Linked DNA regions of Saccharomyces cerevisiae S288C. The gene in region 1 interacts genetically with each later gene. Each region holds a gene or a part of one and is shown in the gene's direction. Other genes may lie near its edges.

The links.
Region 2: mutations in ATP10 (region 1) and ATP23 together harm fitness less than expected from each alone (positive genetic interaction), as found in Saccharomyces cerevisiae (3 studies listed by BioGRID, with this or other methods).
Region 3: mutations in ATP10 (region 1) and COX7 together harm fitness more than expected from each alone (negative genetic interaction), as found in Saccharomyces cerevisiae (2 studies listed by BioGRID).

The regions. Positions count from the first base shown.
Region 1 is NC_001144.5:905,271-908,418, forward strand, and holds ATP10 (Atp10p), read left to right. Parts: upstream 1-1,808; coding exon 1,809-2,648; downstream 2,649-3,148. Other genes in the region: ART10 (Art10p), read right to left, coding at 1-1,035; SUMO ligase CST9, read left to right, coding at 2,680-3,148. UniProt on the Saccharomyces cerevisiae protein: Essential for the assembly of the mitochondrial F1-F0 complex.
Region 2 is NC_001146.8:666,910-669,857, reverse strand, and holds ATP23 (putative metalloprotease), read left to right. Parts: upstream 1-1,635; coding exon 1,636-2,448; downstream 2,449-2,948. Other genes in the region: mitochondrial 54S ribosomal protein bL9m MRPL50, read left to right, coding at 1-84; YNR021W (uncharacterized protein), read right to left, coding at 267-1,481; ARE2 (sterol acyltransferase), read right to left, coding at 2,591-2,948. UniProt on the Saccharomyces cerevisiae protein: Has a dual role in the assembly of mitochondrial ATPase. Acts as a protease that removes the N-terminal 10 residues of mitochondrial ATPase CF(0) subunit 6 (ATP6) at the intermembrane space side.
Region 3 is NC_001145.3:778,445-780,956, reverse strand, and holds COX7 (cytochrome c oxidase subunit VII), read left to right. Parts: upstream 1-1,829; coding exon 1,830-2,012; downstream 2,013-2,512. Other genes in the region: PET111 (Pet111p), read left to right, coding at 1-1,328; GFD1 (Gfd1p), read right to left, coding at 2,390-2,512. UniProt on the Saccharomyces cerevisiae protein: Component of the cytochrome c oxidase, the last enzyme in the mitochondrial electron transport chain which drives oxidative phosphorylation.

The DNA.
Region 1 (3,148 bases):
ATTTTGGCTGCCAGACCTAAACAAGTAGTCTTTCCTGTATATTTGCTTCAAATCTCGACTTCTAACCTCTATTCTCATATTGCTTTCCCCATCAGGCAACCCCATTTTATAAGTAGATGGGAAAACTTTCATACCATTTACTAGGCGAGTAGATTGTCTTGTTGATGTGACTGATGATACCGGTCTCGATCTAATGTCGCCGTTTTCTATCAATATAGAATTAGCTTGAGAAAAGTTCCTGTCACTTTTTATATATCCGACTCCATTAACGACTTTGACGTCCTTTGATGGCACCTTTAAATTTGAACTATTGAAAAATTCATTGTTGGTGACCATACTATTTCCTCTACTATTGTTACTGAAGGCATTAAGTTCTTCATTGTCATCTTCATCAGGTTCTATAATAAGATCTTTTGGCTCAGGTATAAATTCGAACGTCTCGATTTCCCTTATCAGTTTATGGAATGGCTTAAACCAAGATGAAGATTTCCCTAGCTCTAATTGAACTTGCACCATATATATAACTTTTCCAAAAGAGTAAAAATACAAATCCAGATTATCGATTTTATTAAATTCTTGCCAATGACTATTGAACGTAGGTGGGAGTCGGGCATTACTTCTTGTCACAAACGCTACTGTCTTTGCCGTATGATTTTTCAGACATTCAGGCTTTCTGGGAAACTTGTCAAATTGAAAGCTATAATTATATGAACCTGGTTTAACTTTGAACGGCTTGGAGGAGCCATCAAGAGCATTCCATACATTATCTGGAGGGAAAACTCTCTGTTCGAATTTCATTAATGTATGAAAGGATTTGTTGTCTTGGCCCGGCATCATCATGCCATTCTGTTGAAACATGTACTCTTGATCAATTTTTGTTAAGGTCTCTGAGAATCCTTTTAGAATGACGGAAATTTTCCTTATAGATAGCGCTTTTGTTAACTGAAGACTAACTATCCCTGACATTTGATCATTAGAGCTATAAAACTCCCCGTTGTACGGTGGGTTTAAGGATATTGAAATTTTTGGAGCCATGGTTTGACAAACTGTATGGTTCTCAACCTTCTCTAATCAAAAGCAGAATCTTAAATATAAACACTCACAGAATATCCGTTGGTCAATGAAGTAATTCTCCTTTGTACTGGCTGCTTTTTCTCCTCTAGTTTATGTAATTCTACTTTTGGATGGGTGCGACTGCTTTTAATTGATTGAGTGGCGGTGTTAGAAGGGCTGTAGAGTCGAAGGCTTGTTTCTCTCTTACGCACCTCTTGTGAAAAGGGCGTGCACCTTCCCCAGGACCCTCTCTCACCCTCAACCCGCATTTTGCTGAGAATTTTCACCAAGGCCCTAGGTGATATTAGATTCCACCTGACTAATTGCATTACAGCCGACCCAAGGCAATATCAGTTTAATAAAATATCATGTATCTCACCCTCTTCTTGGTATTAGTAAAGAGACGCCTGATCTTGTAACAGTGGTGAAGATTGTACTAGAGCAGAATCAAGAATTTAAAAAGTGTAAAGGCAAGGCAGAGGCGATGTACATAAAACTTCGAAGTAAGAAATATTTAATAGTTCTCGCCACATCACTATGCAGCTATATAAAAACTACTATAAACGTTTGTTTTGTTCCTTACGCACAATATCCTTGCCTAGAAATCGTTTTTGAAATTTAAATTTTTATTACCATTTATTTGATTCGCCTTCAGAAAAATATGGAAGAGTGCATATTTAAAAAGGACTATTTCAGCATATAGTAAAAGTCAGGTTATTTGTTTATTTGCGATATCAGAGTAACTTAAACTAACTATGCAGGGCACTTTTAAAAGGTTTTACCATCCCACGCTTACGCGGATGTCCTTCTTGGATAAATTCCTCAAGCCTATGATGGCAACGGCTTCCCCAAAGGAATACCAGATCAAACAACTGGTCAAGCCAATAGGCTTAACACAAGCACCAAGGAAAAGCACCAAATACTCCCAGGGGAACTCTTTGAGGGATATGTTTGATTCGGAAAAGACAAACCACAGAGTTAAAGAGTTGGCCGTTGAATTCAGCAAATCTGGACTTTATGACGTGCAAGTCTTCCAAAAGACAAAGGGGAAATTGTTTATAGCTCCAGTTTCATATTGGAAAGAAGATAAAGCTTTGTTTTTTCCTCATTTGATAGGAACGGCAATGGATGGTACGAAACAACAGAATATCGAGGATATGTTAAGGGGTAAAACCAGTATAGTGAGGTTATTTAGTACAGCATCTGGCGATAAGTTGAGTAGTTCATACTTCCAAGGAATCGTAGACGATAACAAAAAAACTGACTACTTGACTGAAGCTGATGCGCGTTTAAGTTTAAATGACAGTAACGTCCAAATCATCGAGGTCAATCTTGTAGAAAACGCTGTGAAAAGTGCTCTAGTGAAAACGCTTGCTCGTTGGGCCAATCGCGTTCCATCCTGGCGCCAGCCATTTTATTTCGAATGTTCTAGAGGCCAATGGCCATTTTCCGTCAGGGAAGAGCTCTTTTGCAATAATGTCTTTTCTGGATACGTCTTTCTTGTGGACCAGCAGTTAAAAATTAGGTGGGCAGCTTGCGGGGAGGCTACTCCATCTGAAAAGGAAGCATTGTGGAAGTTTGCCAAACGTCTGTGAAGTTGACGCTTTGTGCGGCGGCCAACAAGGGATGGGCGGCTATTTGGCGATCGTGTTCATTCCCCAAACTAACACGAAGAGCATGAGAGAGAAAAAACAAAAGTGCTTGAAACAGGTAAGACGTTTATCATTGATATCACCAAAGAAATATATAATGCCGGATTCTATTTTTGAACAGCCCTTTGTTTACTGTGGTGTTTGCCACAGAAGAACATCGCATGGAGATCCATTGAGGCTGACCTCATGTGCTCATATCCTCTGTTCGCAGCATTCTCCATTAACATCAAAGGTGTGTCCTATATGCCGTTCGAGCGATATCTCCATCATTAACCTTGTGGAATCTAAACAGCTGCCTACCGACATTAGGATTTTTTTTGAGCCACTGCCCCCACTTTTGGAGTCGTTATATAATGTTTCCCAATTCCAACTGAATGGGCTTTCGAAACAGTGTCAATACTATCAAAATCATTGTTTAAAGTTGAGAGAAAAATGTGCAAGAC
Region 2 (2,948 bases), on another chromosome or scaffold:
GAGAAGCCAAAAGAGGAAAAGAAGGGATTATTGGATTCTGGGATTACTATCGAAGAGGTTAAGATCCCCGGTCTTGACATTTGATTGGTAAAGAGTATGTATTCAGATAGCGTACAATCTTGTATATAGGCAACATCGCAATTCAAAACACCACATACCAATTTACATACTTACTATTTAAATGTATGGATACATGGAAAACGTTCGTATACAAAAACTGAAGAGGTTCAGAAAATTATAAGGAGGAAAGAAGAACAAAGTGGTTCTTACTGAAATCTTGTTCTTTGCTTGTTTTTGAGACGTCTTTCTCTTTTCTCTTTCATTTTTTGATCTACCTTTTCTTGTTGACCAGAGGCCTTCAATTGACGTCTTTTGGCTTTTTCCAATTCTAATTTCTTCTCCTTTGCCAATTCCAATTCAGTTTCTTTCATAAACTTTTTGATCTTGTTCAGTTCTTGCTGACGCAAGTTGGTAGTTCTTTTCAAGATGTCGTTGGTAATGAATAAGTTTGGAGACTGTTGGACTAAATCTTGAGTGAACCCATCGTAGATTTCTACGACTAAGGAAATAATTTGGTTTAACAACTTCAATTCATTCTCATTTTGGGGAACAGCGCAACGAATGATAGCCTTTGGTTCAATTGAAGATTCCCATTCTTTATCATCGCGTGGCGGGTTGACAGGCAAATCGGTGAAACTTATATATTTCAAAAGATTACCAGCTTGGGACAAAACCTCATAGGGCTTGGAGTAATGAAACATGAACCCTGATAATTGATTAACATCGGACATGTAGACGAAGTTATTTGGTAGTTTATCGTTTTCACTAGTGTGTGCAATAGACAGGAAATAGTTTTCAGTTCTAGCTTGATTCATGAATTCTTTGTTAACAATAGAAGTGACAAATCTAAATTTGGTCAAAATTTCATGCGCATTCTTGTTAGGATGAGCAGATTCACTAGTAACTAAAATACCATTTGGCCTGATCACGATCTCCATAAATTCTTCCAATTGCTTACTTTTCAAACTTGCAAAAAAAAATCCAAGCAGGTACTCTAGACACATAGAGAAAGGGTTGCTACGGGCTACCAGATGAAGGTTTAGGTTGATGCTCTTGATGGCGGATCTACCGGTAGCAAAAGAAGAGAACCATGTATTTTGGTGTTCCACTGTAAAGATTTTGGAATCATTGATATTGAACCCTACACGGGAGAACTTTAAGTCGTTGGCCAAAAATGAATGCAAAGATTGGAAAATCTGATTTCCGCGCTTCAAATTAACGGAGTTACCAAATTTGTAGAAAGCATAAACCAAGAACAACACACCTAGAGCACACAATTCAAAAGTCCAGTTGTAGAATTTGACTCTTTGCCAAATAGTCATGGCCTTTTGTTCGTCATATGATAATGCTTGGTAGGGCGCATTGAGTGAATTGACACGCTCCAAAAAACCCGTAAGTGGGCCAAATATTGAACTAGACATGTTAATGAAATGGAAAAGGGTTCTGCTAATCTAATTTTTATGCCTACAACAATATCGTACCTATTTGAGCAATAATACCTATAATATCAAACTTTTTTTTTTCAAGTAGTTCTCACTTTTTCACTTTTTGGCGCGTTTTCGCCAATTATCATTTATGACGATGCGAACAAATAAGAAAAATAAGAGTTCTAATATCAAAATGATCAGAAGAGTAAGGCATAATTTGTACAACCAAAACCAAGGAAAGCTGATAGTACCGAATTTTTTTTTTTTTTGGCACGATATGAATAGCAGTGGGGATAATGCTGGGTTTGAGTGGTGGAGACGGACCATGCAGTACAAGACTGGTATAGGCTTGACACCGGAGGAGAAAACTCGATACGAAGACGACTCTAAAGCTCGAGAACTAAAAAAGGAATGTCTGAAATGTTATGAGTATCGAGATTGGATGCTTAAATACTCTCCCACAGTTCGCTTTATGGTACAAGCTATTACGAAACTTAATAAGGGTAGCGACAGTAAATTCGACGATTCGAAGATCATCTGCGATTACTGTCCCGACTGGAAGGGCGGTGGCTTTCATCCTGAATTGGGAATCCTATTGTGCCAGAACAGGTTACGTGATAAGTGGCATTTAGAGGATACGCTTTCGCATGAATTAATTCATTATTTCGATGATCTAAAATGGCAAATAGATTGGTTAAATCTGAAGCATCATGCATGTTCTGAAATCAGAGCCTCTTCGTTAAGTGGGGAATGCAGGTTTTGGGAAGAGTTCAAGAGAAGAGGGTTTAGGACAGGATTCCATGTGGCAAGGGGACACCAAGATTGTGTTAGAAGGAGGGCAATAATTAGTGTTTCGGGGAACCCCAACTGCCAAAGCAAAGAACATGCAGCAAAAATTGTAGATGAAGTTTGGGACAGTTGCTTCGCCGATACGAGACCGTTTGATGAGATTTACAGATGAACCAATGTAATAAATGACAATATTCTATAATAGAAAATATATAGACGCTTGTAAATAATAAAAAAAAAAAAAAAAAAAAAAAAAAGTAAAAAAAAATTTACTATAAAGATTTAATAGCTCCACAGAACAGTTGCAGGATGCCTTAGAATGTCAAGTACAACGTACACATGACACTTGGTCCCATGCAGATACCGAGCCAGAAAATAACATTTCCGATTATGGTTCTGTTCCTCATGAATTTAGTATTTGTTAAAGCTACTAATGGCATTTGCAGCATTTGGAAGAAGAACAAGTAAAACCTCAATTTCTTGAAGATAACGTACATTGCTAATTCATGAACGACGGAACTTAAGAAAAAGGTCATCAAAGTTGCTTGACTCTTGTTCAATTTGAATGAACTCATTGAACTATGGTAAACATGTCTTAACAAAAACTTATGCACTGGGATGTTCCAAATTCTACTGAAGTCTGCCCAACTAACACAATTCCACCAGTCACCG
Region 3 (2,512 bases), on another chromosome or scaffold:
AATTTATTACCAGACTTAATAATAATATTTCAACACGAAAAGAGCTATATATGTCAGTGGTTCAAGCGTACGTCTCTACTAACAATTTCGAGAATTTAAAAGTAATCTTGGAAAAAATCCAGAGAGATAATGATATTAGCATAGACGGTTCGTTTCATTTGTGCATTTCTAGGTATTTTGTCAACACCAATCAATTCGAAGGACTTTTCAAATATTATCGCAGTGTAGTTAAAACCACTGATGGTAAAACGCGATTACGGCCCGCATTTATTCAACAATTATGGTCATGTGCCGTAAATGTTTATCCAATGCTGGCAAAAGAAATTACAAATGACCTACTTGTGACTCTAAAAAGGAGCCAATACAGCAAATGTCTCACTTGGGTGTACACATTTTTACAAGAAAATGCCCATATCCATACGAGAAAGATCAATGGAGGAGAAGACTCTTCGTTATCTGGTTTCAACGCGGTTGATTTTGAAAGGTTTGAAGAGTTCAAGAAAAAAGTTTCTCACAATGATGTATATGGAGCAGAATTGGTGATTTCGAATAGTTTGAAGGAGGGCATTGCGCCTCAATTTTCATTTTTGTATTCCGTTTTGGCATTATGCTTGAGAAACTCTTTAACTGGTTTGGCACGTGTAGTTGATGTGATATTAAGGACCAGATTCCGCTATATCCCACTAAAAGTCGATATATTATGGTTGAAATGGGAGATCATTTCTAATTATAGATCTTTTGAAAAGTTGTCTGCTGAACATTTAAAAGAACTGGAATTCAAACTGAAGGAATTTGAACGAGTACATCAAAAGGAGCTTTCAGTTCAAAACTATTTACAACTTACTCAAATATGTTTCCACACCCGTGATTTCAAATATGCATGTTACCTAATTTCACAAGCTAGAAAAAATTTGGATACTTCAAATAACAAACAGTGGATGATGTATTACATGACATCTTTAAAGTTGGCGTCAAGAATGCATGAAAGCGAACGGTTTAGTAGGATTTTAAAAGACTGGAATTGTAATCATAGGGCAAGCCTGATTACTCCAGGTTGCATTAGACAAATCAAAGGCTTTATGAAATATTTTGAGAAAAGGCCTGCTTACATTTCAACTGCTGCTTCCATTGATAACAAGGAGATAAAGGATCGCATTGACGAGTTAGTACTTAGATATGTGGACTATAAATACCAGGGGCTTGAGAATATGAGAAAGTTAACACTTTTCTTAAAAGAATGGTTTGATGAAGAGATTTCACTATTAAAGTTGGAGCAAAATGAAAGGAAAATGAAGCTTTTTGAAGAGAATAAAAAGGAGGAGGAGTAATCTTTTCAGTTATTTACCTTCCTTTCTCTCACGTGTAAATATTTGTGTGTCATACACACCGCTAAAAACCTTTGCATCAACTTATACCCTACATTTCTATAGACGCTATTTGGAAACAAGATGTAACCCTTTTTTTCTTTTAGTTTTGAGATTTGTACTCGTAAAGAGTACGTTTATTTATTTATTCAAATTTTATTCTTCATACCATGTAAATATAAGCGCATATAATCACTACGATCTTAGTACAGCTAGAATTGCTGACGCTTACAATTGCTTTATTGTTTGATTATATGCACGTATACATATAGTGTCAGCAAAAAAAAAAAAAGGCAGTACTTGATTGGCTACGCCGCGCATCGTCCGAGAAATCCGGCCTGGTAGGGGCAGGTTTGAAAAGGCGGATAGAAATAAAAGATGATATTATTTATTCATCCCATGAATAGTAGAACTCGATATAAGATTCTAAACCAACAAGTACAGAAAGCAAAACAATAATAAATAATGGCTAATAAAGTTATTCAACTACAGAAAATCTTCCAATCTTCCACTAAACCTCTATGGTGGAGACATCCAAGGTCAGCTTTATACCTGTATCCATTTTATGCTATTTTTGCGGTAGCCGTCGTTACACCACTTCTATACATTCCAAATGCTATTAGAGGTATCAAAGCCAAGAAGGCATAGTTAGGTAAAAATAACATCCGTTCATAGCATCTTTATAATTGTTCTTTGATATTAAGTGTGTATGCTCAATACACATCACCCAAAACATTTTTATTCGAAATAAGATGAAAGCCATTTATTTATATATACATATATAATATTCTAAAGAATAAGGAAACAACTAATCGAACTAGCATAGCCTTTTCCATCTTTGTTTTCTTGCGCAGTAATAAATCGTTTCAGTTAGGCCTGGCAATAAAGATTTGCTAATCATTGAAAAAGGTGTGATTGATTTTCTCACTTGAAGTATGTCTAGTATTTATTAAACAATTATAATGGTGTAAACTAATGTCTCTTCAAGCAAAACGTGCTTAAAAGTGTCCATGTGATGGGAGGGATCATATTTTCAAAGAGGTCTTCAAACGTTGAAGGATAAGCTCCTCTTCATCATCGTCAACCCAGTTGGAGCTCCCTTCATCGTTCAGAAAATCCATCAACACTTGTTGCTGTTGATTCTTGTG